4 linked regions of the Stegostoma tigrinum genome follow. The protein of the gene in region 2 interacts with the protein of the main gene of each other region in a pairwise test. Links are inferred from orthologs where the notes say so. Each region holds a gene or a part of one and is shown on either strand. Other genes may lie near its edges.

Evidence for each region.
Region 1: the proteins of THAP domain-containing protein 1-like (region 2) and znf385c interact in a two-hybrid assay, tested with the Homo sapiens proteins (3 studies listed by BioGRID). The two-hybrid records come from large-scale screens. The link is inferred for Stegostoma tigrinum from reciprocal best matches to the Homo sapiens genes THAP1 and ZNF385C.
Region 3: the proteins of THAP domain-containing protein 1-like (region 2) and phf1 interact in binary tests that used the Homo sapiens proteins (3 or more experiments, as listed by UniProt). The two-hybrid records come from large-scale screens. The link is inferred for Stegostoma tigrinum from reciprocal best matches to the Homo sapiens genes THAP1 and PHF1.
Region 4: the proteins of THAP domain-containing protein 1-like (region 2) and zcchc10 interact in binary tests that used the Homo sapiens proteins (3 or more experiments, as listed by UniProt). The two-hybrid records come from large-scale screens. The link is inferred for Stegostoma tigrinum from reciprocal best matches to the Homo sapiens genes THAP1 and ZCCHC10.

Annotation. Positions count from the first base shown.
Region 1 is NC_081384.1:13,221,414-13,228,595, forward strand, and holds the start of znf385c (zinc finger protein 385D), read right to left. Parts: upstream 3,021-7,182; 5' UTR 2,962-3,020; coding exon 2,940-2,961; intron 1-2,939.
Region 2 is NC_081354.1:16,648,838-16,656,292, reverse strand, and holds the start of THAP domain-containing protein 1-like, read right to left. Parts: upstream 3,011-7,455; 5' UTR 2,971-3,010; coding exon 2,900-2,970; intron 1-2,899. UniProt on the Homo sapiens protein: DNA-binding transcription regulator that regulates endothelial cell proliferation and G1/S cell-cycle progression.
Region 3 is NC_081387.1:17,109,983-17,117,529, reverse strand, and holds the start of phf1 (PHD finger protein 1), read right to left. Parts: upstream 3,022-7,547; 5' UTR 2,825-3,021; intron 1,941-2,824; exon of another isoform or gene 1,657-1,940; intron 1-1,656. UniProt on the Homo sapiens protein: Polycomb group (PcG) that specifically binds histone H3 trimethylated at 'Lys-36' (H3K36me3) and recruits the PRC2 complex. Involved in DNA damage response and is recruited at double-strand breaks (DSBs).
Region 4 is NC_081366.1:23,102,209-23,109,503, reverse strand, and holds the start of zcchc10 (zinc finger CCHC domain-containing protein 10), read right to left. Parts: upstream 3,013-7,295; 5' UTR 2,998-3,012; coding exon 2,957-2,997; intron 1-2,956.

The sequences.
Region 1 (7,182 bases), on a different chromosome or scaffold from region 2:
CATCATTGTGGCACTGCAGGAGGCCCAGAATGGACACGTTGTCTGAGGAATGGGAGGGGGAGTTGAAATGGTTCGTGACTGGGAGCTGCAGTTGTTTGTTGTGAACCGAGCGTAGGTGTACCACAAAGCAGTCCCCAAGCCTCTCCCCAAGCAGATGGAGATAAAGAGCTATAAGGAGAGAGCAAGGTTGATGAGTTTTGCAATATTGAAATGAAAATCTGGCATTGACAAGATAGACAGTTCCCACCTTCATAATTCTGTCATTCTTTGGTCAGTTTCCCTGAGCTGATTGTGTATTTCACAGTTCATATCAAGAAGCCTGGAGGGCAAAACTGCTTTGGAAAAATAATGTTGACGGAGGACAGCCGGGGAGGCACCTCCCAGTCGCAAACCATTTCAACTCCTCCTCCCACGCCTCAGACGACATGTCCATCCTGGGCCTCCTGCAGTACCACAACGATGCCACCTGAAGGTTGCAGGAACAGCAACTCATATTCCGCTTGGGAACTCTGTAGCCCAATGGTATCAATGGGCACTTCACCAGCTTCAAAATCTCCCCTCCCCCGACCACATCCCAAAACTAGCCCAGCTTGTCCCTGACTCCCTACCCTGTCCTTCCTCCTACCTATCCCCTCCTCCCACTTCAGGCCCCACCCCTATCTCCTACCTACCAGCCTCATCCCGCCCCCTTGACCTGTCCATCCACCCGGGATTGACCTGTCACTCCCTTAACTCCACACCTACACTCACCTTTACTGGCTCCATTCCTGCCTCTTTGACATGTCTGTCTCCTCTCCACTAATCCTGCCCTTTATCCATCTTCTATCCGCCTCCTCCTCTCTCCCTATTTATTTCAGAATCCCCTTCCCTTTCCCCATTTCTGAAGAAGGGTCTCTGCCCAAAACGTCAGCCTTCCTGCTCCTCTGATGCTGCTTGGCCTGCTGCGTTCATCCAGCTCCACACCTTGTTATCTCAGATTCTCCAGCATCGGCCGTACCTACCATCTCATGCTCCATAGGAACACTGCAAGACGCTGTTATTGTCACCTACCATCGCATTCCTCTGGGCAGCCCCAGGAATTATTAATGGAAAATAAACTGGCCGGAGTTCAATCCTATAGCAATTATTTCATGAGATAGGTGGTGAAGGAGAGGTTAGCAGTGATCTCAGCTAGGACAGGCAAATAAAGGGTACATAGTGAGGCAATAATAACGCTCACCACTTGCAGTACCTTCCTGCCGTGATCTCATCCAAATTCACATGGAATCACCAAGCAGAATTCTGGTTGATGCCTCTGTCAGAACATACTGCCAGCTGAGTCAGTTGTGCCAAAGTTCTGCACCAAAGCTGATCAACAACTTCTTGATTGAAAAAGCACTGAAACAAAATGATGTGCACTGCAGCTGACACAAGGTCAGAAAACAGGGATATGATGAGAATCACCACAGATTAAAGCAATGCGACAGATGGTGATGTAGTGATGTATTAGAAACTGTGGTCTTATCTGAAAGCGGTGGCAAATTATTGCTTCTGTAATTGTTGTCATGGTTTTGAGTATGCAGTTGCTCGCTCTTCCACTTTAGGTCTGTTTACTGGTGCCCTTGCTTCATGAGGAGAACATTTTCTGAGGGCCATGACTGTACAAGGAACAAGTGTTCCATTTTAAATAATCAGCATCTATATATATGGAATAAAAACAGTGCTGCAACAAAATGTTGCTAAAGCTCTTATCATATAGGCAGATAGAAGTAACTTGCGCTGCAAATAATATTGGTGTGCTTAAATTAATATTTAAATATTTAATATTTAAAAATCCATGTATTCCCCCCGTGCACCAAATGGAGCCCTTCAGTGTGCCAACAGAAAAGTGGACAAACTTATTATCAAATTGTCTTTACTGCTGAGTGGTAGCAGGGACAGATTGCATACCACCATACTGTCACAGTCCCCAGTGCTTCATTTATTTTACTTTGCATCGACACAAAACCTCTGGGCTGTAGCCACTGTGCTGGACTGATATAACAGTCATAATCTTATGTTATTGATATCATATTATGATTTTTAAACAGCCACCTGAACAACTGGCACAGGCAGTCACACTTCATTTAACATCTCATCCAAAAAAAATTCCTACATTGACATTGTTTACAAAATAATACTGTTCATACTCAGGTAATGGTTGATTCTGTCAGTCCCAGCCTCTGCCCCCAAACAAAGTCATTTTCATATGTCTTGTGCATAAATTAAGAAAAAGAATTTTACGCCTAAAAAATCCAAACACCTTGTACTTACCATGCACCGACCACCGAGCTCAAACTTGCTCTGATGCTCTGATAGAATCATGGAACAACACACCATTGGAAATGAGTATTCCATTCCTTCATGTCTCAGCATATCAACATATGATGTCAACGCTATAATTTCACTGCTGTGTGGTACTTTTCGGGGCAGGATTTGTGGGAACAGCTAGTGGGAACAACTCTGAGATAGCAAAATGAGTGGAGACAGTGGGCTTCAACCGCTCCAAAATGTTACTCATGAAGAAGTCAATCTCTTACTTTTTGACAAAAGACTTTAGTCTTGGAATCTTGACTTCTACACCAGTATGTCCTGTGCACAACAGAGCAGCAAACAAAGGATCGTTTACATCCCCAATAGAATGGCATAGATCAAACATACATCATCTCACCTCCAAAGCGCTTCCAAACATCATGATGTTTGAATGATTGCAATTAAGCAAATTTAACAGTTTGCTAAATTGGTTTGCAGGGCGCAAACATCTTTACTTTAAGAGAGTATGCCAGAGAATATGGATAAGCAAAATCAGACGAGAGGTAATGATAATAGTTGCCAAACCAGAAAGGTGACACAAAAAGACTATACAGTAAATTATACAGTTCTTATTTTTCACCAAATGACACAAATGTAATCAAACGCACTCTGGAGCTCTCCATGAAGCATGGCATCACTGACATTAATGACTGAGAGGAACTTGTTATCAATTGTTCAAAATCGTGATAGCTTGTCCATCAAGCAGCATCATACTTTGATTCCTATTGTCTTAATAATGAGGCAGAGCAGTGGCAGAGAAAGAAAGGAAAGGAAGCAAATCCTGCACTCCAGATCCCGCTACCTCATGGGACATCCTGCCACATTTACTCGAAAGATCTTTGGGCTGAGAATTGGCCTGTTCAGTCAAGTGAAGACCCACTGGAGTAGACATCATCCTTCAGCTGAGGGACAGGCACTGCTGATAACAAATGTAGTCTGCAAGATCATTCATATACTCTGAATACCATAGATCTGAAAACCTATGGTTCAAACATATTAACTTGTGTCCTCTTAAACATTATATCATCTTGTTTATGTTCTCAAACTGAAAATCTCCTCCTGGCAGAAACAGCAAACACTTAACATATTCATATAACATTCCCCTGTCTGTTACTGAAAATAAATGGGTTAATCCTACATTTAGATGGTAGGCAACACTCTCTGTTTAAATATGTCAAACCATTTATTAATAATGTCACCAGCAGTCATTTTCAGATCTTAATCTTCTGACCAAAGTGTGAGCATGAAGGAGCAAGGGGGTGGCTTGAAGACTCTCTTGATATAAATTATCAAAAATTTAGTTTTAATTTTAGCCTCGTTGACTCATTCATATCAGGGAGGTAATGAATTGCTACAAACAGATTGTTCAATCGTTGTTGTCGTACTGGTTAAGATAGTGGGAACTGTCTTTACTCTAGGTGTGCCGACAAGCAATGTCACCACATGTCAACTGATTGTCATAATTAAAATCCCAGCACACCTTAATCAACTCACTGATCTAATATTCTGACAGGAGACGCAGCGGAATGTTCAAGATCATTAAAATTGCCCAATTGCTGGGTTTTGATTGTGGCAGTAAACCTCATGGGGAGAGTTTTTTCTTCTATATTGACAACAGGACATGTTGGTTTCTTTGATAACTACCAATCTATTATCCAATTTGCAGTCTTAGGGGTTTCTTCTTTCAAAAGTGTATAACGACCTGATGTTTGAGTAGGTTTTTAAGTGCGTGAAGAAACATTAAACGTGCCAGTAAAAGCACAAACAGTAGATGGGAGGATCTTTTGCTTTCTTGAGAATTATTGCATTGGGAAGGGTGACTGCATCACTGCTGAATTTTCATGCAAATGGAATCCTCTCCTACTCTGTGGCTAAATCTTCAGAATCTGACTCAGAGAACTATGGGGCTGCTCTCTCCTGAGCCAGTGACAATCAGTGCTGGTTTAATCTGAGGGTCACCATGCCACAGGTGAGGGGAGAAGTTGAGATGGTGTGTCCTTTGTGGTAGCCTCAGCGAATCCCCATGCTGTTGAACCCATGCTGTTTGCGTCACTCTGCATTGCAAACCAGCATCTAGCCAAACCGACCTACCAACTCCCTGATTTAGGGATAAGATCTAATGGAACTTGAAATTAGGTGAGACATGTCAAGCCAACCAAAAGTACAGGACTTGAATATATTTAAGACCTCAAATCATTCACGCTGCTACCTGATTGTATAAATTCTACCTCTCCATTTGAGTCTTTGGGTCTATTGGCTGCATTCACCAATATTCTAGAGACAGAAATCTGTGCCCTTTAGGCTCAGCCAATCAAAACAGATTGAAGAAGCACGATATTTACTATCTGCATCCCAAACCTGAATATTTCTGAACCATTCCAGCCTCCGCTCTCTTTAGAGATCATTCACACACTCATGATTAACTAGAACAGCATCACATTTGATAAGTTGGTCTTCACTAGCCAATGGGAAGTGTGTAGGCACTCTCTCCTCCCAAATTCTCTCCCTGCCTCTGCTCAGCAATATTGTCTGGGTGAGCTTGGAATGTACTGAAAAATCCTGGAGGATGTTTATTTGCCTCTTTGTGAATATAAAGATTTAATGTCTACCCACTATAAAAGCAATACATTAAAACTTAAAAAGAAACCACATCCAGCACGTTTGAAAAGTTTCTATTATATAATACAATTGACATGTTAAGATAACCAGCACGTCCATTAGAAGCATTATAGAGTACTTAGAGTTAAAATTGGGTTTAATACTCACCGTGTTAAAAACGTCAACAACTCAAAGTTGGTATGTCATTTTCATAATGGTAAACATGTCATCAAAATTATCACCAAAGTGTATATCTGTACGCCCTTATAGGGGTCTCTCTTATTACCACAACTGGTCTCAACACAAGTCACAGAGATAAATAGGCTCAGAGGGGGCAAGAAGCCTCCAAATAAACGAGCTCCTTCTCAGTTCGAAGATACTTTTATTTGAGAAAAACAAGAGGTGCGCCTTAGGTAGCAGTTGTGATGTGTGAAAGATATTTCACCAAAAGACGTATTTCAGAAAACTGGTTCGACAACAGAAAGCAAAAAAAAGTGTTCACCGTTTCCAGTTGCTTCGCTGTTTGAAATGCGATGACATCCCTCACTATCCCCCAAGGCTTCCATGATTTGAACCAATTTTAGAAACTCTTTAATGAAATGCAATTTCCCTGCAGTGAAACTTTTGCGTACAGGAAAACCGAGATTCACAAAACAGGGTTATTTACATCGCCTCCGCTACATTGCTTCAGAATACAACCAAATATTCCCAAGACATTCTCTCCTTTATAGGAAGAAATAACACCTATAATGTACATCATGCGAAATGCATTTAAGTGTATAACGAGGTCGACAGCACAAGTTTATCTCTGAGGTGCTGAGGGATTAGTCATTCTGCAATCAAATCCGTGAAAGATAATGCTTGCAGATAATAAAAGGCAGCAAAAATAAACTTCCCCTTGAAATCGGGCTGGAAAGGCATCATTTTCACTCTCTCCGCGTCCCAAACTTGAATCTTTCTGGACTCCCTCAAGCCTCCACTCTCTTCAGAGATTATTCCCACACTCAAGATTAACTGGCAAGGTATCACATCTGAATTCTTTTTGTTTGAAATTATTTTTTTTGAATGTAGTACTTTTTTGAAAAGCAAGATTATTCCCTGACGCGATCTTCAAAAAAAATTAAGCTGCACAAATATGTGCCTGTAGGTAGAGAAAAAGAAGTCACCCTACCTCCAGCGCTGATCCCGAGCTCTGTTTCCCTCGCTGCCTCTAACATTGTCTCTCAACCCAGACTGAGCAGCAGCAGGCGCGCCGCCGACAGCAGCACATCCCGGGGGCGCGTGCATGTACGGGCGCGCGACCGGGCGGGGAGGGGTGCGCGCGCTGGCACCCGGCCCTCACCGATACCTGCAGGCGCGCGCCACCTGTACGCTCATGAGTGACCCGGGAGTGGGTGGCGGTCAGCCTGTACAGGAGGGAACCTCATCATTATTACCAGCATCATCATCCATTTCCCTTGCTGCAGATATCTTCATATCAGTTTACTGAGAGTGTGAGCGAGAGAGATCGTGGAAAAAACAATATCCTCCAGTACCGTCAACGTGCAGCCCGACCGCATCATAGCCAGTTAAAACTGATCAGAGTTTGTACCAAGATAATAAAATGTGAGGCTGGATGAACACAGCAGGCCAAGCAGCATCTCAGTTTGTACCAGGTCTCTCCCTCCCTCACCCCTTCCCCTTCCATCCCCAACACCTACACATATGTAACATTCAGACATTTGCACCCTCATTGCCAGCTACTGCCAACACAATTTGACTGACAATGCTGTCTCTTCTTTGTGTCAGAGATAATGGGAACTGCACATGCTGGAGAATCCGAGATAACAAATTGTGGAGCTGGATGAACACAGCAGGCCAAGCAGCATGTTAGGAGCACAAATGCTGACGTTTCTGGGTCTAGTTTTTCTGACAAAGGGTCTAGGCCCAAAACGTCAGCTTTTGTGCTCCTAAGATGCTGCTTGGCCTGCTGTGTTCATCCAGCTCCACACTTTGTTATCTCGGATTCTCCAGCATCTGCTGTTCCTACTATCTATTGGGTTACCTGTTGCCTCCTTAACATCAATGTGGGTCAAACTGCAGCAGGTGGACTACTGTTGTTCAAGAAGACAGCTCACCACCACCATCTCAAGGGCAACCAGGCACCTGCAATAAATGATGACCAGCCAGCAACACCCACATGCCACAAATGAATAAAACAAAATGCTGCTTCACACATCTCTCTGATATATGTTAACAATGTCATAGTAGCTT
Region 2 (7,455 bases):
CAGTGGGTGGGGGAAGAGCTGGGCTGGTTGTGGGGTGCAGTGGGGGGAGGGGATGAACTGGGCTGGTTTAGGGATGCAGTAGGGGAAGGGGAGATTTTGAAACTGGTGAAGTCCACATTGATACCATATGGCTGCAGGGTTCCCAGGCGGAATATGAGTTGCTGTTCCTGCAACCTTCGGGTGGCATCATTGTGGCAGTGCAGGAGGCCCATGATGGACATGTCATCAAGAGAATGGGAGGGGGAGTGGAAATGGTTTGCGACTGGGAGGTGCAGTTGTTTGTTGCGAACTGAGCGGAGGTGTTCTGCAAAGCGGTCCCCAAGCCTCCGCTTGGTTTCCCCAATGTAGAGGAAGCCGCACCGGGTACAGTGGATGCAGTATACCACATTGGCAGATGTGCAGGTGAACCTCTGCTTAATGTGGAATGTCATCTTGGGGCCTGGGATGGGGGTGAGGGAGGAGGTGTGGGGACAAGTGTAGCATTTCCTGCGGTTGCAGGGGAAGGTGCCGGGTGTGGTGGGGTTGGAGGGCAGTGTGGAGCGAACAAGGGAGTCACGGAGAGAGTGGTCTCTCCGGAAAGCAGACAGGGGAGGGGATGGAAAAATGTCTTGGGTGGTGGGGTCGGATTGTAAATGGCGGAAGTGTCGGAGGATAATGCGTTGTATCCGGAGGTTGGTAGGGTGGTGTGTGAGAACGAGGGGGAGTTGTATCCCCCTCGTTCTCACACACCACCCTACCAACCTCCGGATACAACGCATTATCCTCCGACACTTCCGCCATTTACAATCCGACCCCACCACCCAAGACATTTTTCCATCCCCTCCCCTGTCTGCTTTCCGGAGAGACCACTCTCTCCGTGACTCCCTTGTTCGCTCCACACTGCCCTCCAACCCCACCACACCCGGCACCTTCCCCTGCAACCGCAGGAAATGCTACACTTGTCCCCACACCTCCTCCCTCACCCCCATCCCAGGCCCCAAGATGACATTCCACATTAAGCAGAGGTTCACCTGCACATCTGCCAATGTGGTATACTGCATCCACTGTACCCGGTGCGGCTTCCTCTACATTGGGGAAACCAAGCGGAGGCTTGGGGACCGCTTTGCAGAACACCTCCGCTCAGTTCGCAACAAACAACTGCACCTCCCAGTCGCAAACCATTTCCACTCCCCCTCCCATTCTCTTGATGACATGTCCATCATGGGCCTCCTGCACTGCCACAATGATGCCACCCGAAGGTTGCAGGAACAGCAACTCATATTCCGCCTGGGAACCCTGCAGCCATATGGTATCAATGTGGACTTCACCAGTTTCAAAATCTCCCCTTCCCCTACTGCATCCCTAAACCAGCCCAGTTCATCCCCTCCCCCCACTGCACCACACAACCAGCCCAGCTCTTCCCCCCCACCCACTGCATCCCAAAATCAGTCCAACCTGTCTCTGCCTCCCTAACCGGTTCTTCCTCTCACCCATCCCTTCCTCCCACCCCAAGCCGCACCCCCAGCTACCTACTAACCTCATCCCACCTCCTTGACCTGTCCGTCTTCCCTGGACTGACCTATCCCCTCCCTACCTCCCCACCTACACCCTCTCCACCTATCTTCTTTACTCTCCATCTTCGGTCCGCCTCCCCCTCTCTCCCTATTTATTCCAGTTCCCTCCCCCCATCCCCCTCTCTGATGAAGGGTCTAGGCCCGAAACGTCAGCTTTTGTGCTCCTGAGATGCTGCTTGGCCTGCTGTGTTCATCCAGCCTCACATTTTATTATCTTGGAATCTCCAGCATCTGCAGTTCCCATTATCTCTGATACTAAACTAATCCATTATTTATTTCCTCCTTCTCATGGCATGGAGACCAGAGTCATGTTCACCTCTTCAAAAAACAAGTAAAGAAAGAAGAGCACAATAGAGTTTGCATTTAACTTGCTCCTTCACAATCAAAAAGCAACTGAGAGCCTTTTAAGAGATAGTAGGAATTACCGATGTTGGAGAATCTGAGATAACAGCATATAGAGCTTTCGGGTCTGAGCTTCAGAAAGCTGAAAACGTCAGTTTTTCTGCTCCTTTGATGCTGCTTGACTTGCTGTGCTCATCCAGCTTGACACCTTGCTATCTCACAGCCAGTTAAGTACTTTTTAAAATCTAATCACTACTGTAGTGTGGCAAATGAAGCAATCAACAAAAGGTCACCAAACAGAAATGAAACGAAAGTTAAGATAATCATTTGTTTTGGGTCTTGATTAAGGATTAAAATATTGATCAGATCAGCATAACCTTGGGATCTCGCATCCAACTTAAAAGGTAAGACACAGCTTGTGCTTAACATCACATCCAAGAGGCAATCCATCAAATAACGTACACATCCTCAGTTCTGCAGTGAACTATTAGTCTGTGCTTTGGTGTCTGGAGTCTGACCGAAGTCTAGTGCCAGCACTTAACAAGGATGCACACGAGTCAAACAATAGCTCAATTTCACACTTGAACATAAAATTAGAACACCAGGCGGCTCTCACAAGTGACAGACAGTCTGTATTTCCGCAATCTCTTTCCTCGAGAACACCGTTGAAACAACATTCTTCTGAAACCCCTTCTACTCCCAAACACCTCAACCACCTCCTCTTTTTCAATCAACGGTCCGGAAACATCTTCGTAATCCCTTCCTCACCGACTCTCCCCAACCCCAGCCTACCGCTAACCAATATCTCTCTGCCTTCACACCCCTTTGAAATCCCTCGCTGTGTACACCACTCTCCTCCTCTTCTTTCTTCTTCCTTCCCCCCGCTCTTCACTGCGCCCCGTCTAAAACCAGGCCGGCTAGCGTCGAACTTTTATCGCTTTAAAGTGGTGCTGAAACCTCGCAAACAAAAAAAGACACAGGCATAGCCAGTCGACTCTCCGTACCTATGGAAAGAAACTCCCCGATCCTTATCATACCGATTCTTACAGCCATAAGCCGAACAGGAAAGCACCATTTCCACAGCCCTTCACCCGCTATGCACCTGACAGCAATCCTGGCTCTGATTGGCTGGACAGATCACGGCTTTGACTGGTTGGACAGGTGATGACTCTGATTGGCTGGACCGACCCAGGCTGTGATTGGCTGGAATTATCCCTATTCAGAATAATTCCGTTCGAAAAGGTAACAAAGTGTGGAGCTGGATGAACACAGCAGGCCAAGCAGCATCTTAGGAGCACAAGATGCTGCTTGGCCTGCTGTGTTCATCCAGCTCCACACTTTGTTACCTTGAATTCTCCAGCATCTGCAGTTCCCGTCATCTCTGATACGTTATGAAAGTTATCTTGTTCAAAGCGGTCGTTGCAAACTTCTGGAGTGGCTCAGGCTTGAATTTCGGGCCTCCTGGTTCAGAGGTAGGGACACTAACTGCAACACAACAGGCCCTTTTGAGACTGCATCTACCCTGACACACATTGTGGGTGAGTTTCAGGGTAAAGGGGGACAGTGGTACTGGGTAAAAGTTGCATGCTTCAGAAGTGTGTTGTAACACCTCTGAACTGATTTATTAGATATTATCTAACAGAGGGAGAAATTAGAATTTTTGCAGTACAGCAGGTCACCCAGCCCGGCTCTGTTTGCTCCAGCACTGGGTATAAAGAAATTCTTGTGAGACAGTGGCTGTGAGACAGAAGTCCCTGGTCCCACACCCATTTCATAGCCGAGGAATGTACATTCTTAACATGGCCATTTTGAGTATCAACCATTCAACACACATTAGTGGCATGCAACAAGTGTAAGGGACATTCCTGGTCAGGATGCACAGATTGTTGGAGACTCCAACGTCACCATCCAAAGTTACATACTATGTGCATGTTGCCACAGCAAGTCAGATGCCAGGCTGAACTGTAATGCACAACCACTGTATTTGGTACATAGTTGACATTAAGTCTGGGATTCCAATAGTTGAGTTCCAATAACTGAATGTGATATGACTCTGTTTCAGAACTGAATTATCCTCTATCTAGTTTTCTCCTTTCCAAGCTCTTCTTCATGATACCCTTGACTCTATTCACATCAAACCGTTATCTAAATAATCCCTACCCTCACTTTGTTTCTCTCATATTTGCAGATACTCTAAATTGTTCTTTCTCATCCAGAACAATTCTCCCTTGCTCACACTAAATCTGTTATCTTCACATGACCACACAAAACTCTTCTATTTCTGTAGTCTCTAATCTTTTTTTCTTTCAACAGTACTGAAATGCCCTAATCAAAGTCACTGTTGACTATTTCTATTTCTATTCTTCCTCATCCTTCGTCTGGCTGCAAACATTGAGTGGATAGAACACAAGAACTCCTTTAAATGCCCTTAGTCCATTGTGCACAGGGAGGGATGGATGTTGCTTGATTCCATTTTTACCTGTGTGGTAGAAACCATGGAAGTATCCAATTGGCTTTCCATTAATACACCATAACGTCATAAAGGATGATAATATTACAAAAATATTAGAATCCACAGAAGAACCAGGGATAAGGAAATAAACAACAGATTTCAGGGTGGAACTGAAACTTCAAAACTAAAAATCATTATTAACAAACGTGTACAAAACAAATACAAGTGTTGATGACTAAATAGTGTAACACCTCACCAAGGTAGCACGCTGGAAATCAAGCTCCATTAGTCTCAGAGTCTTCACAAAAGTTAAAAATTTTATCAAAGTATAAACTCCACAATGCACCTACCTTTTAGATCCAGGCTAACAGAAAGCATGGACCAGGTTTCTGTATGCAACAATAATTACTAATTATTACAACTAAACAGTTTCTAGCGATGTATAAACAAGTATGAACTGACGACATATAATACTACCAGTTAAAACTATTTTACCATGGACATGCAATCCCTTTACACGTCTAATTCCCCAGAAGGACGGTCTCAAGGCTCTCTGCTTCTTCCTGAATGAAAGTGCTGAGCTGTCCCCATTAACTGCCACCCTCCTCAGCATTGTTGAGCTTGTCCTCGCCTTGAATGACTTCCATCTTAACTCCTCTGATTTTCTTCAGGTCAAAGGGCAGGCCAGGGGTACCTGATTGGGACCCAGTTTTGCTTGTTTCTTTGTGGGGTACGTGGAACTATGCTTATTCCAAACCAACTCCGGCCACCACCCACAACCTTTTCACTGGTGTATCAATGATGTAATTGGTGTCACTTCCCTCTCTTGTCTGGAATTGGAAAGGTTTATCCATTTTGCTTCCAATTTCCACCCCAGTCTCACCTTCACCTGGCCTATCTCTGACTCCTCCCTCCATTCCTCAACATCTCTGTTCCCATTTCTGGGGATAGACTGGCCACCAATATCCACCCCAAACCCTTACAGAGGAAGTGGTTCATGTGTGGAATGAACTTCCAGAGGAAGTGGTGGTTGCGGCTACAGTTACAACATTTAGATAAGTACATGAATAGGAAAGGATTGGAGGGTTATGGGCAAAATGGAGGCAGGGGTGATTGGTCTGTTTTAGGATAATGGACTAGTTGGACCGCAGGGTCTGTTTCTGTGCTATTTGGCTCTATGATTTCCACAGTTACCTTGATGAAACATCCTCACACCTACTTCCTGTAAAGACTTTACTCCATTCTCCCAGTACCTCTATTTTTGTTGCAGCTGTCCTGATGATGCCAACTTCAATAATGGGGCCTCCGAAATGGCCACCTTCTTTGTCAAATGTGGATTCCCCAGCACCACAGTTGACACAGTCCTCAGCCGGGTCCAACTCTTCTCTCACATTTCAGCCCTCAGCTCCTTTCCTCCCTCCCCCAACAATGATAGCGTTCCCTTTGTCTTCACCTATCATCCCACCAACAGCCACATCCAGAGGATCATTAGTCACCATTTCCACCACCTCCAGCAGGATGCTACCTCCAGACACATATTCCCCTGCTCTCCCTTCTTCTGCAAGGACTAATCCCTCAAAGACTCCCTGGTCAGCTCCTCCTTCACTCCCAACACACCCCCACAGCCACACAGCACCTTTGCCTCCACTGAACCTGAAACATTAACTCTGATTTCACTCCACAGATGCTGCCAGACCTGCTGAGATTTACCAGCAATTTTTTGTTTTTGTTTCAGATTTCCAGCACCTCCAGCAGAAATTGAAACAGAATCCCTGCAGTGTGGACGCAGGCCATTTAGCCCATCAATTCCACACCAAACGTCTGAAGAGCATCTCACCCAGATCCACCCCCACTCTATGTCAATAACCCTCCATTTGCCGTGGCTAATCCACCTAACCTGCACATCCCTGGACACCATAGTCAATTTCTCATGGCCAATTCACCTAACCTACATATCTTTCAACTGTGGAAGGAAACCAGAGCATCTGGAGGAAACCCACGCAGAATCAGGGGGATTGTTACAGTCACCCAAGGTTGGAATTGAACCCGGATCCCTGACACTGGGAAGCAGCAGGGCTAACCACTGAACCACTGTGCTGCCCATTTTGGCTCTTATGGGATTTTTTTTTAGTTAAAATTCTGATTCCCTTATAAAACTCCCTGACATGCAAATACAGACAGATATAGCTGGACAAAAAGGATCATGGGTGGAGGGGAAAAACTGAGAAAACAGGTATTTGGTTCTTGTCCACAGGGTTCCATGAAATGATCCTTTTCCTTGTCAGGACTTAGTGTTCTCCATTCTCTCCCCTCCAGGCACTTTCACCTTCTTGCAGGAAGCACAGAGTGACTGATTCACAAATTGCAAAGTCTCTTACTTACTGGTTACTAGCCACAGCTTATACTAATGGGTGAGGAAAAAATAAAATGAAATTCTTTAAGGTTTGGGTGTACCTGTATTCATTTTTACTGCGCAGAGAGACAGATAAAGCCATTCTGGATGTCTAAAGCTATCTTCAAACCAATTACATAGTTGTTGGCAGGCAGATGTCCTTTATCAGTGATAATGGGAACTGCAGATGCTGGAGAATCCAAGATAATAAAATGTGAGGCTGGATGAACACAGCAGGCCCAGCAGCATCTCAGGAGCACAAAAGCTGACGTTTCGGGCCTAGACCCTTCATCAGAGAGGGGGATGGGGTGGGGGTTCTGGAATAAATAGGGAGAGAGGGGGAGGCGGACCGAAGATGGAGAGAAAAGAAGATAGGTGGAGAGGAGAGTATAGGTGGGGAGGTAGGGAGGGGATAGGTCAGTCCAGGGAAGACGGACAGGTCAAGGAGGTGGGATGAGGTTAGTAGGTAGGAGATGGAGGTGCGGCTTGGGGTGGGAGGAAGGGATGGGTGAGAGGAAGAACAGGTTAGGGAGGCAGAGACAGGTTGGACTGGTTTTGGGTTGCAGTGGGTGGAGGGGAAGAGCTGGGCTGGTTGTGTGGTGCAGTGGGGGGAGGGGACGAACTGGGCTGGTTTTGGGATGCGGTGGGGGAAGGGGAGATTTTGAAGCTGGTGAAGTCCACATTGATACCATTGGGCTGCAGGGTTCCCAAGCGGA
Region 3 (7,547 bases), on a different chromosome or scaffold from region 2:
CAATGGCCAATCAACATGTCATAGACATAGAACAATACAGTGCAGAACAGGCCTTCGGCCTTTGATGTTGCGCCGACCTATGAACTAATCTAAGCCCCTTCCCTACACTATTCCATCATCATTCATATGCTTATCCAAGGACTGTTTAAATGTGGCTGAGTTAACTACATTGGCAGGCAGGGCGTTCCACGCCCTTACCACTCTCTGAGTAAAGAACCAGCCTCTGTCATCTGTCTTAAATCTATCAGCCCCTGTACAAGGTGAAATCATCATCCTCGGAAAAAGACTCTCACTGTCCACCCTATCTACTCCTCTGATCATCTTGTATGTTGCAAATGCAGCCGCACTAGTGTTTTGCACAGTTGCAGCAAGAAAGAACCAAATATTTCTAATTGCTCTGACAGATGTTAGTTACAACACCAAGCTTCATAAATACCAAAGAATAGAATAGAAACTCTGTCTAAACTTGAAGCTATGTAAAAGCATAATGTATACTGCCTTTACTAAGTAAACCTCAAAATAAATAAAGGTCTATATTAAGTAAATAATTGGAAATTTAAAAACAATCCTTTTTGACAGGAATTTAATGAATGTTCACAAACGCACACAGCCTGTCATTATTTATCTCAAACAGCTAAAATGTCTTAACGTTTTCTTTTTCAGCTCAGCCTAACATGGCTAACTGATCACAAGCAGATGTATAAGGGGATTGGCTCAGAAGCAAAGTGTACAGTATCTCTAAATGGGTGGGAGTTAGGTTTTACAAATATTAATTGGTATTGTTAAATTAAATTTAAACTAAGTCAGAATGGTGAATCTACAGAATATCAATAGCTTCAGCCAATAATATATTAAGAACTGTGTACACTTTCTGCCCTCTATTTCTACTGTGTAGAGACATGCACAACTCTTCAATGCATACCTGTACTGCAAATTGTCTATGCTAAACTGCCTGTGCCTTTATTTCTTCTAAGAATGGGAGGCACCTTCCCACACCATATTCTACCAACTTCAAGGTTAAAATCTTTAAAATTAGCCTTTTGTAGGGTCACATTTGGTATGGGTGTCAATCACTGGGTAACATTTATTGCCCATCCAAACTGCCCCCAAGGCAGTAGTGAGCTGCCTTCTTGAACCACTGCAGTCCACATGCTGTCGGCAGATCCACTATTCTGTGAGGGAGGGAATTCCAGGATTTTGGTGGAACAGCGACATATTTCTAAGTCAGGATGGACAGTGGCTTGGAGGGGAACTTGAAGGTGGCGGTGTTCCCATGTATCCACTGCCCTTGTCCTCCCAGGAGGTAAAGGTCACTGAATTTGCAACATGCCGGCAAAGGAGATTTGACAATGCATCTGGTTGGTGGCACACATTTCCTCCACTTTGCCTTGGGAGTGGAGGGAGCGGATGCTTGTGGATGTGGTGCCAATTAAGCGGGGGCTGCATTTTCCTAGACTGTTGTCGAGCTTCTCGAGTGTTGTTGGAGCTGCACCTACCCAGGCGAGTGGCCATCATACTCCCTGACTTGCAAGTTTTCAACTCTTGTCTCACTGTCTTTTGGCGGTGGGGAGGGGGGGGGGGTGGGAGGGGGTGTCGAATTTCCACCATCCAATGAAAAACTGCCCCCTTATGTGCTGGACTCCCGGCTCTACTCACCCTGGTCGTTTTCAACGCTCCGAGTGGGATGCTGCTTGACTTCCTGTGTCGAAGGGAACGCGCACACAGTTTGCAAGCTGTCCACAGAGTTTAACCCTTGCGGAGCCAGTATCAAACCAGTTGATTCTGTGCTGCATCCCCTCTCTGAGGCCTGCGTACACCGTACATCCTTCCTGAATTGCAACGAACAGCGCTGGCTGGCCGTAATATCTGAAAGTGTGTGTGTGTTTTTGTTGGCCGGGTTTGGGGGGGGGGGGTGTGGAAGAGTCTCTATTCGAGTCTCGAAATGCAAATCAAAACAACGAGGCGGGCACCCCAGCCCAGGACCTTCCCCCTTCCAAAGCTGCATGCATAACACACTATCAAAGCGAGAGGCAGGTGGGCGTGTGCCTTGTGGCTGTTCTGCAGAAGTATCACCCCTTTTCCCTTATGAGGGCCGTGAGCGGATAGCTGATGCAAACTCCACGGGGAGGAAAGAATGTACAGTATGAAAAACCTCAGCATCCTTCCGCGCACCCCCCTTCCCGCCCCAACTCCTCCCTAAATACAACATGCAGAGAGAGAGAATATTGATCAGGAACAGCTTGCTCCCGTATGACACACACGTAGGGAAAGAGGGGATGATGTGGGCGGAACGTAGCGTACTTTTGGCGGTACAGACTCAGACGGGCCGAAGGGCCGCCTACTGAACCGTCTGATTCCTTCGGCCCCAAATCTGCCCCCGCCAGTGACCTGACGATCCTCGAGGAAATCAGACATTCCGCTGGAGACGAGGAAATGATACAACATTTTACTGTTCCGCAGATCTAGCGATTTGTGTGTCCCCTCACGTCTGCTAAAATCAACCTCTCCCTCCTGCTCCCATATCTTTTTTGCACACCGACTATATTTTTTATCTCGCTATTTGTAAAGGTGTACGGGGGGGAGTTGGGAAGGGAAGGCTCATGTATAAGGGAGAGTGTTGAGAAACTGACGCCCCCAGTTGCTTACACATTACAGGGCATGTTGCTGCAGTTTTCTCTCTCTCTGGCCCAGCGGAGGAAGTTCCAAAAAAAATTGCACGGAGGGCTTCATCCTGCCGTTTCTCTGGGGCATATTTTTCCTTTTTTTAAAAACCTCCCCAAGACGATAGGATCCCACCCCGCTATCTGTTACAGTAAACACTCACCTGCAGCGGCTGGCTCCACACCCAGTAATGAACTGCGGGAGTTTCTCTCCTGGAGCAGTGTGCGTGTGTGTGTGTGTGTGTGTCTGCACTTGGCTCATTCACAGTGAGGTTTTCAACTCAGATAAAAACACATACAACACGTCTCCAACAGCTCTGCCAGTCGCCATCTTCCTGTGACGCAGACTACAGCTAATTTCGGTCCACGGCTTGAAATTCAATCGGTGTGTGTGTGTGTGAGAGAGAGAGAGAGAGAAATTGTGTAAACAAGTGCGCGTTATGTTCGCCACACATTTAATACTGTTCATTGTCTTCCGCCCTGCGCTGTTGACAGCAGCATGATTGAATTATATAACACCCACTAGGAGTGCAATAAATAATTAGGGATGATTTATTTTACAAAATAATAAAAACACATGCTCCCCAGAAACCGTTTAGAACCACTCTGTATTTGCAGACTGTACACAACTTGTGGGATTTTGCATTTCGTTCGCCAGGGAAGGAAGGATCAGTGACGAGGCGGAATGAGTTGAAAGAACTTGACTTCGGTGAAACATTTCCCAGTCCAAACCCTACCCCACCCCGTCTCTCGGGCACTTCGTTGAATTCTGAGAAATTTTCTCCCCAATTAGGTCGCTAGCCTCATAAATACTTCAGCTTTGGGAGTAGACTGTAAACCTGTTTGATAAAGATCGTGAAATCATCGAGATGGGGCTTTGTGGGGCATGTCTACTGAATTTTCTTTCGCTTTGAAAGGCCACCCGTGCACGGGAAGATTCCCACACGCAGAAAGTAAAGACGGCACGGGGTACTTTGCAACACTTTATGTGAACGGACGGCATAGGGGCGGGGGGAATTTATAAGGTGACGAGGAAAAGGTGGGAAAGCTGTTTGGCATTTCTATCAAAGAGCTAGTACAGACACGATGGCCCGAACAGCCACTTTAATCGTTCTGACGATGGGTCACAACACGAAACGTTAGCTCGACTTTCTCTTTCTGCAGATGCGTTTCTCAGCCATTTCCTGTTTTTTTTTTCAGATGCCCAGCACATTTGTTTTAGTTTAGCTCCCCAACCCTAGTTCTTCTTTTGCAAAACGCTTTAAATCCGTGTCCTCTCGTTCCTGATGCTTTAAACAGTTCTGGGTCTTATCCAGATTATGAGAACCTCTCTCTGATGCCCCTTTCGCCTTCTTGCAGAGAACAGCCCCAAACGCTATTTTGAAAGGAGTCGGAAAAGATAACTATAGGCCAGTGACCTTAAGCTCTGTTCTTGGGAAAATGTTAGAGTCTCTTGTAAAGGATGTAATTACAGAGCATTCAGAAATGTATAATATGATCAAGCAGAGTCAGCATTGCTTCATGAAGGGGGGAAATCACGCCTAACAATATTTTTTACAACTCTTTGAGGAAACAACAAGCATGATTGATAAAAGGGAAACAGTGGATATTATACATTTGGATTTACGGAACATGATTGATAAGCTGCCACACATTGGGCCATTAAATAGCTGTCCATGGTGTGGAGAAGATATATTAGCGTTGATAGAGGATTGGCTCACTAGGAGAGGACAGAGAGTTGGGATAAGGTAGGGAATTTTCAGGATGGCAAACTCTAAATAGTGGTGTGCCACAGGCATCAAAGTGTTGGGGCCACAATTATTTATAATATGTATAAATGGCTTGGATGAGCAAAAGTACTATAGCCAAGTTTGCAAATGACACAAAGAATAGGTGGCAAGTTTGAAAATTGTTGAATTCAACTTTATTTACTTCATTAAAAAAAGCCAGAGCAGGATCTGTGATCAGTAAAATGATGACGAAGTTGTTGGGTTGTCATCATAATCCAACTGGTTCATTTGGCCTCCTGTGTCATCCGGCTCTACACCTTGTTATCTCAGATTCTCCAGCATCTGCAGTTCCTACTATCTCTGGTTCATTCACATTGTTTACCCAGTCTGGGCTGTATATAATCCCAGTCCTACGTCACTGTCAATACCATCCCCTGCCCAAGGGCCCACCGTGTTTGACTTTGAAACTGCCTCTGAAGTGCTCCAGGGAGGTTTATCAAATTCTCCTGCAAAGCAAAATGAAGCTTTATACATGACCAGACAAAAAGTTCTCCCTTTTTTGTAATTGTGTTCTATGAACTACTAACAATACAGGGATTGCTCCATCAAACAGCAGGTAGGAGAGCAAGAGAGAGAAGGCGAACTGTGGTGGCTTTGGATCGGGAGTTGATCCTCTGTGGAGTATGCTATTGTCAAATGTGTCTGGAAACCTGAAGTCACAGGCTGTTGACTGAGACAAAAGCCAAACATTTCGACGTGAAGTTCTGACAGGATGAAAGTCTCCTTTGTCAACTGTGAAGGTTCTGCATGAAATGAATTCGGGCAATCGCTCAACCCAGTTACTAATGGGCGATGGGCCAAGGGACAAGCTGCCCCAAAGCTGCCAGGGTGTGGAAACCGTGGGAAATAGGCAGACGTCGCACTGTTTTGGTGGAGTGGGTTGGTTATAGAGAGACAGTGAGATTTGCCCTGCGTCTAATTGTGGTACTCAATGCCAGCACTGGAGAATTATCTCATTCTCCACTTCTGACAGGCATCAGCACTGCAGCCAAAAAGCACACTTACCATGATGTCATTTTAAAAATCTCTTTCTGGAAAAAGCGTTTCTAAGGAACAGGGTCTGGCAATGAAATGAACCCAAGTTTTGAACAGGTAGAGCAATCACAAATTGGCAGGAATGAGGGAACCAAGGAATGATGTCAAAACAAGATATGGTAATAGCTGGAGGAGAACCATATGCCCCTTGAACAACTTCCCTCAGGGATCAAAGGGAACTCAAACCTGTACTGAATTGTTGGGAAAAAGAAAAATCCCTCAGACTGTTCAGAAGTGTGTTAAAGCCATTTCTGAAGTCTGAGAGTGTGCTGTCGGAATCTTGGCCATCAGTTCAGTCAGAAAATCACCAGTTTTTGGAGACAAGCTACACTAAGGGACAGAAAATATTGGTGGGAGTTGCTCAGTGATCCCTCTGTCAGCATTTGTCACATGGAAATCGGGAAATTAGACGTCCATGTAATATTGCTGGCTTTGGGGACTTTAAGCCTCACATTAAATGGAAAAGCTAAACTTGTATAAGCATGGAGGATGGGTCATGGAAAGTATGCAGGATATACTGAGGTGTCCACTAGGAAATAGATTATTTTGGGTCAAGTATTTCGCAATGATGGGAAGTGTCATTAATAGTATTGCAGTAATGAGGCGTCCAGGGAATAAGTGGTAATTATATGATAGAATTTCATAAAGATTTAAAGTAAATTAATCATGTTTGGAATTAATATTTTCTACAGAAGTGCAGAAAACCACCTATGTATGATGGTATTGTGATGAAAGGTTTACAGTATACGTTATCATTTTTGGAATTTGGTAACTAAAATAGAGATGAAGGGATTTTGGTCAGTTCTTTGAAGACTTTTCTTGAAAGAAAAGGTTGGAAAGTCACTCTGGAACAGTGACCTAAACGCATCATCGCTGACAAAATATATGATGCAGTCAAGTGTCTAACAGAACACTGATGGTGTTGTTATTGGAGAGGATGTGAATACTTCTGAGTTTCCCTTAGCATTCAAGAGAACTAGGCACCTCAGCAAGTATGTCCTCACCTGTGAAACCTCCAAGGTGGAAAAACCTATGCAGCCATCTTTCAGTCACTAGGACTGAGAAAATTTCAGCCCTCAGCATGGTGAAATGTTCATGCCAGTATACTCGGAAAGAGATTGTGGAAATTGCATGGTTTTGTTTCCTTCATTCATGGGAAGGAGGTGCCACTGGCATGGTCAGCATTTATTGCCCATCGCTGTTACTTTGTGGTGGATGTCGAGTCACACGCAGGCCACATGAATATGTAAGTTAGATTTCCTTCCCTAAACGGCATAAGTGAACCAGACAGTCTTTTTTTCCTGACAATTGATAATGGGTTTATGGTCATCATTAGACTTTTAATTCTGGACTTTTTTAAAAAGAAATTGAATTAAAATTCTTCCATCTGCCATGGTAAGATTCAAATCTAGGTTTCCAGAACATTACCTTGGACTCTGAATTAATATTCCAGCAATAATTCCACTAGGCAATTACATCGACTCAGAGAGGAAAAAAAGCTGGAAAGAATCAATTAAGTAGAAACTTAAATAGATTTAGGAGGAACATTTCTCTGGACTTGAGTCTCTAATGGGTCATGTAGCGAAATAGGTCGAGGCTTTGCTTTTGCTTCCAATTTCCACCCTGCTCTCACTTTCACCTGGTCCATCTCTGACTCCTCCCTTCCCTTCCTACACATCATTGTTTCCATTTCTGGGCTTAGGCTGGCCACCATATCCACCATAAACCCAGCGACACCCACAGTTACCTAGACTATACATCCTCAGACCTAAAGAACCTATTCCACTCGCCCCGTTTCTTCACCTCCGATGCATCTGTTCTGATGATGGCAATTTTGACAAGGGAGCTTCTGAAATGTCCACCTTCTACCTCAACTGAGGATTCCTCAGCACTGTTGTTGGCAGGGCCCTCAGCTGGGTCCAATCTATCTCCCATACTACAGCCCTCACCTCCTCTCTTCCCTCTCACAACTGCAGTAGGGACCCCCTTGTACTCACCTATTACCTATCACCCACCAGCATCCACATTCAGAAGATCATCAGACACCATTTCCACCACCTCC
Region 4 (7,295 bases), on a different chromosome or scaffold from region 2:
CTCACCCACTCCAACCTCTCCCCCGCAGAACGGGCAGCCCTCCGCTCCCACCCCAACCTCACCATCAAACCCGCAGACAAGGGTGGCGCAGTGGTAGTATGGCGCACTGACCTCTACATCGCCGAGGCCAGACGCCAACTCTCCGACACCACCTCCTACCGCCTCCTCGATTATGACCCCACACCCGAGCAGCAAACCATCATCTCCAACACCATTCACGACCTCATCACCTCAGGGGACCTCCCACCCACAGCCTCCAACCTCATTGTTCCCCAACCCCGCACGGCCCGTTTCTATCTCCTTCCCAAAATCCACAAACCTGCCTGCCCTGGTCGACCCATCGTCTCAGCCTGCTCCTGCCCCACCGAACTCATCTCCACCTATCTGGACTCCATTTTCTCCCCTTTGGTCCAGGAACTCCCCACCTACGTCCGTGACACCACCCACGCCCTCCACCTCCTCCAGGACTTCCAATTCCCTGGCCCCCAATACCTCATATTCACCATGGACGTCCAGTCCCTGTGCACCTGCATTCCGCATGGAGATGGCCTCAAGGCCCTCCGCTTCTTCCTGTCCCGCAGGCCCGACCAGGCCCCCTCCACCGACACTCTCATCCGCCTAGCTGAACTCGTCCTCACACTCAACAACTTCTCTTTTGACTCCTCCCACTTCCTACAGACTAAGGGGGTGGCCATGGGCACCCGCATGGGCCCCAGCTATGCCTGCCTCTTTGTAGGTTACGTGGAACAGTCCCTCTTCCGCACCTACACAGGCCCCAAACCCCACCTCTTCCTCCGGTACATTGATGACTGTATCGGCGCCGCCTCTTGCTCCCCAGAGGAGCTCGAACACTTCATCCACTTCACCAACACCTTCCACCCCAACCTTCAGTTCACCTGGGCCATCTCCAGCACATCCCTCACCTTCCTGGACCTCTCAGTCTCCATCTCAGGCAACCAGCTTGTAACTGATGTCCATTTCAAGCCCACCGACTCCCACAGCTACCTAGAATACACCTCCTCCCACCCACCCTCCTGCAAAAATTCCATCCCCTATTCCCAATTCCTCCGCCTCCGCCGCATCTGCTTCCACGATAAGACATTCCACTCCCGCACATCCCAGATGTCCAAGTTCTTTAAGGACCGCAACTTTCCCCCCACGGTGATCGAGAACGCCCTTGACCGCGTCTCCCGCATTTCCCGCGACACATCCCTCACACCCCGCCCCCGCCACAACCGCCCCAAGAGGATCCCCCTCGTTCTCACACACCACCCTACCAACCTCCGGATACAACGCATTATCCTCCGACACTTCCGCCTTTTACAATCCGACCCCACCACCCAAGACATTTTTCCATCCCCTCCTCTGTCTGCTTTCCGGAGAGACCACTCTCTCCGTGACTCCCTTGTTCGCTCCACACTGCCCTCCAACCCCACCACACCCGGCACCTTCCCCTGCAACCGCAGGAAATGCTACACTTGTCCCCACACCTCCTCCCTCACCCCCATCCCAGGCCCCAAGATGACATTCCACATTAAGCAGAGGTTCACCTGCACATCTGCCAATGTGGTATACTGCATCCACTGTACCCGGTGCGGCTTCCTCTACATTGGGGAAACCAAGCGGAGGCTTGGGGACCGCTTTGCAGAACACCTCCGCTCAGTTCGCAACAAACAACTGCACCTCCCAGTCGTAAACCATTTCCACTCCCCCTCCCATTCTCTTGATGACATGTCCATCATGGGCCTCCTGCACTGCCACAATGATGCCACCCGAAGGTTGCAGGAACAGCAACTCATATTCCGCCTGGGAACCCTGCAGCCATATGGTACCAATGTGGACTTCACCAGTTTCAAAATCTCCCTTTCCCCCACTGCATCCCTAAACCAGCCCAGTTCATCCCCTCCCCCCACTGCACCACACAACCAGCCCAGCTCTTACCCCCCACCCACTGCATCCCAAAACCAGTCCAACCTGTCTCTGCCTCCCTAACCGGTTCTTCCTCTCACCCATCCCTTCCTCCCACCCCAAACCGCACCCCCAGCTACCTACTAACCTCATCCCACCTCCTTGACCTGTCCCCTCCCTACCTCCCCACCTACACTCTCTCCACCTATCTTCTTTACTCTCCATCTTCGGTCCGCCTCCCCCTCTCTCCCTATTTATTCCAGTTCCCTCCCCCCATCCCCCTCTCTGATGAAGGGTCTCGGCCCGAAACGTCAGCTTTTGTGCTCCTGAGATGCTGCTTGGCCTGCTGTGTTCATCCAGCCTCACATTTTATTGTATTAGAATTTTGGATGGGCAAAACTAAGTTGATCATCTGATACATAATTGTGTTGTGAGTTCTTCAAAAAGCCTAAAGTAGTTATACGACAAGGTCCAAGAGTCCCTTTAAGAACGCATTCCAACTAACCAGTCTTTGTTTTTAACGACCAGCGTTTCGTGGACAGCACTGAAGATTTTCGAAATAATCGTAGGATACGTTACAAACTAACCGAAACCAGATTTTGTTTTTAAAAATAATCAGAAAGACTTACAAACCCTGATCTGAGGTGACACTCGCTTACTGGGAGTTTAAAATACATTTCACTTGTGCGTGGTACTCTCGAATGATAATTCACATTTAAACGAGTTTGTAATGCGTCCCCACGCATGAGGATTAACGTCACCACTGAAACAGTCTTCATAACAGTCCTCTCCAAAGCCTTGGCGTCTTTCCTCGCCGCCTGTGGAATTTAACCACACTCCATTTCAAATGGGAAACATCTGGTGCTTGTGGCTGGAGCATCTCCGAGGCCCGGGGCTGAAGATGAAACCTGCCTCACACCTCCCATTTATTTTACAGCCCTCCCGCCGACGCTGCTTTTACCTCGAACCCATCTACCCACACCTTGGAAAGCAGCCACTTCAGTGTCGATAGAAGAACCTTTGGCGATTCTGGAAGCTGAATACTCACGCTTGTCTACGAGCGATCAATCTGTGCATAGGCGTCGCCATCTTGGTTTCCCGAAATGCATCGGGGCTGTCACTAAGCAACAGCCGTGAAGGTTCTGAGCTTCCTTGGGCCTGAGCATCCAACAAAACCAGATTCATCTCGTAGTCACTGGGGAGGGCTGGCCAAGACTACCATTTTCTCTTTTACGTTGCATTTCAAACCAAGCCCGCTCTGTTTAAGTCCTATTTAATTAGGGACCTCACATTGTTAGTGTGTGCTTTGCAATTGCTTGTGTATCATGCTATGAACACTTTGCCTACTTGAGGGATTGGGGTGAGTTGGCTGAATATTGGGAATTGGAGCTAAAAAAACACACACACATTTCTAATTGACCTGTACAGAGATGTTGTTACACACCCCTGCAATAAGGCTTAACAGTTGGTGTTGAGTTTCGTATGTTTTCTTTATTATTCATTCACGGGATTTAGGTGCCACGAAAACAGTACAAACTCAGGAACACTTGGACATGAGCGTATCAAAATTCAGTTTTCAGGTTTGACCTGGACGCCATCAATTCTAAGTGGTGCTGTGCTACTTTTCTGGTCTAGGAGGCTATGCTGTATTTGTTGCTTGACCTTAATTGTTCTTGAGAAAATGGAATGAACTATTTTCTTGAACATTGAATGTTGAGGGCTGATAGTTTTATATTCTCTTGCTGGAGATGGTCACTTCCTGGCTGTTATGTGGTGGAAATGTTATTTACTCCACTTTGTTGTTTGAGGAGCCATGAATGCAGTATCCAAATGCTTTCATAGACTGTATCATTGGTCATGCTAGCATTTGTTGCCCATCTCTAATTGCCCTTGAACTGAGTGATATGGAAGGTCATTTTGTAGGGTATTTGAGATCCAAGCACAGTGCCATTTTTGTGTGAATGGGGTTACAAATAAACCAGATCAGGTACAGAATGTTTTGTCACCACCTTTGGAGTGAAGCACAGCTTTTAAGAGCTTAACATGCAAATGAGCCAAGTACCTATCTGTGAATACATGACAACAGATGATGCAATGCAGCTATGTCATTTCGGAATGGAAGCCACAAATGTCTTACCTTTTGGAAGTGAGCAGACTAACAATAATGGAATTCAACATTGTGACCATCCATGAGTTCACCGACGTATCCATGGCAGCAGAACAATCAAGAATGCTCACATTGAATCAGTCTAGGATTTATACCAACTGTACCCAGGCAGATTCATTGCAGTAAGAAGTTTCAAAGGCAATGCCAAATTGAACTTCAAAGAAGATGCAGTTCCATCAATTGACCCTCCCAGAAAGTGTATTCACAAAGAAGAAATGCTTAAGTGTGAGTTAGATTACATGAAATGCAATAGCATTGCCATTGTGCGGATTACGACGAAGTGATGCAGTTCAGCTACGAATGAAGAATCATGCAATATTGTATACACATCTGAGATGTCTAAACCGCTTTTGAAAGAGATATCCACAAAAGATTCCAACACTAGAAGAGTTGAATCCTAAATTCGTAAGAGCTAAATTCTCCTCCAAGCTGGGAAATCACTACTTCCACAACACTATTTGGAAGATTTTGCACACAGAAGCCAACTTTCAGTTTGTTTTTCAGTCAAAAGATATTTCAGCAGCACATAAATTGAATTACAAGAAGTGTGCCTGAACACATATGCATTGATAATGTCCTTGTGGTAATAGGCAAAAGCAAAGAAAAGCATAATTGAATGCTTTGCTCACGGCATTTTCAGCAGCAAAAAGTGCCAGATGCATATAAATCAACTTAATTTTTTTTGGCTTTACGTGTTCAAGTTGTGGAATCTGTCCCAACTCAGACAACGGTGATGATATAAGACAAATGCCTACCCCACATAACAACAAAGACCTAGAGATGCCTTGGATTCTTCAATTTCTTGCACAATACAATCAGACCTTTCCATTAAAGTATTATCACTGAGAGAGCGCCCAAAAAAAGTCAAGCCATCTTTATACCAGAAGGACTGTTAGACCACTGAGACAATACATGGACTCTTAGATTTCTACACGTGTAAATTTTACAACTCTAATTCTGGAGAATAACTTCTGTTTTTAGCCAATGTTATGTGTTTTCACTTACGCCATTAGAAGAGCTATCTTTGGAACAAGGGGATATTAGCATCCTTAGAGTGAATCCCTTTAAAAGTTTAATTTAATGTAATGAGTTAAGTACCCAAATGTTGTTACATAACTATACACTCTCTGAAGCACTCTAGACCCAGGCCGTGGCTGGGAATTATCTGAATTGCAAAAAGTAGTTTAGCTGTAAATAAACTCACCATTGGTCTCTCAGTAAATAGAATCCATGCACTTTATTTATGTTAGTTCTCGATAACACAAGAATGTTGTTTTCTAGAGATAATGGGAACTGCAGATGCTGGAGATGTTATTTTCTATTTGTTTCCAAAAGGAAGCCATTCAGCTTTTTACAATGATCACGTTATGGCACTACTAGACTTAGCTTTTAATTGCAGATATTCTTAATTGGATTCAAATTTCACCATCTGCTGTGGTGGAAGTTGAACACAAAACTCCAGACCATTAACGTAGGCCTAACCTGGATTACTAACCCAGTGACAACGCCATCATACTACTACCTCCCTGAAACAACAATTGTTGAACATTTTACAATCATCAACAAACATCACCCCACTCCCACCATATGATTGAAAGAAGGTTATTGCTGAAGTAGCTGAGGACTCCTGCAGCTTTGCCCTGCGACTGAAATGATTGATTTTCAACAATTGCAACCATGTTCCTTCGTGGTCGGTATGATTCCAAACAGCAGAGAGTTTTTTCTCTGATTCCTACTGCAGTTTTCTAGGCTGCTGATACTATGATTGATTTGTCTTGGTGTCAAGGTATTTCATTCTCAACTCACACTGGTTGTCAAGGTTAAAGGTAAGATTCGTGGTTGACATTTGCATTATGGGTTAGTGCTATCATTATAAATCACTAATGGTCCAACGTTTTCAAATTGGCTTCGGGCAACATTTCTTTACAGTCTGTAATAAACATACTTCCAATTGAAATTCTACTGCTGTTCCAGGTAACAATTCTTGTTGTATATCAAAAAATTTGAATATTTTGCTATATAACCTCTCTATTGCTATTTCAATGAAGTGTAAATAAAGTTATTTCAATAGTGGCCTCTGCCATTGACCTTGTGCTAATTTTATTCAAAAAATAATACATAGAGGAAAGATGAAATTTTCTTTTTCATTTGTGAAATTAAGGACAAAGGCACACTGTGACACATTGTTTGAATTCCTAAAATTGAAATTGAGGAAGTTTGGGCAATTTGAAAATTTATCCACGTGCAATTCATATGCTGGTTCATAGTGAGTCAGCACAGTATATAATTGAAAAATGCTACTAATTGCATTTGGGTACAATGGAGAACTTCAGTCCTTTCAAACAGGACTGATGTGTCTAAGAATGAAGGCTACACATTTGGCTAAAAGCAAATAAGGTAAGAGAATAGAATTGGATAAATGATTTCTTTACCATGTTGGCATCAAGCATTTTTATGGTGTCTAAATTTTTGACTGGTGTCTAAACAGTGTTGTCTGTGTGACCTCAGTTCAGTGGACTATGCTGAAATTCACGAGATTGCATTATGGCATGACTGTGAATGAATTCATACTGAAAGTTGCATTCCATAATTGGAAGCTGTTTCCAACTGAGTCATACAGAATACATTCTCAAATTAAAGAACCTCTCTCATCGTTGTGGCCGGTAAGTGAGGTGTGGATTTTGAAATCCACATTATAGACATGCTAATGAGCAGTTTGAAAAACACTAAACCTAGCCCAAAAGTTTGAGTGAAAACAATAAGTTGACATGGAATGAGTCCTGTAATGAGGCCACATCCACAGAAATGGCAGAAGATAATTGCATGTGAACTATTTTCCTAAACCAGCAGCAGAGGTCCAACAGATTTCAGTGAGATATGGGTCACAGTTGTCATGTTCACTGTCTCTGAGTTAGAATTTTAGATGCTACTGCTACCATGTTGGCCATCAAGCATTAGTGCCCTGTTTCCAGCATACCTTTCGGAAGGTTGGTCATATTCAAATTGAATGTATGCGTAAAGGAGCAAGTAATGCTTCAGTTTATTGGAACTGTTGCAGCCATGCACCAAGCCAAGTTTGTAGTAGACTTAAACCTCATTCAGAGGTCTGGAAATCATCAAAGGTGCAGGAGATAGCTAAGAAAAGTGACGTTGATGTTATTATTCAAGTAGATCAAGAGTTGTTTTAAGTCAGAAATAAAGAAAAACAGCACATGGAAGA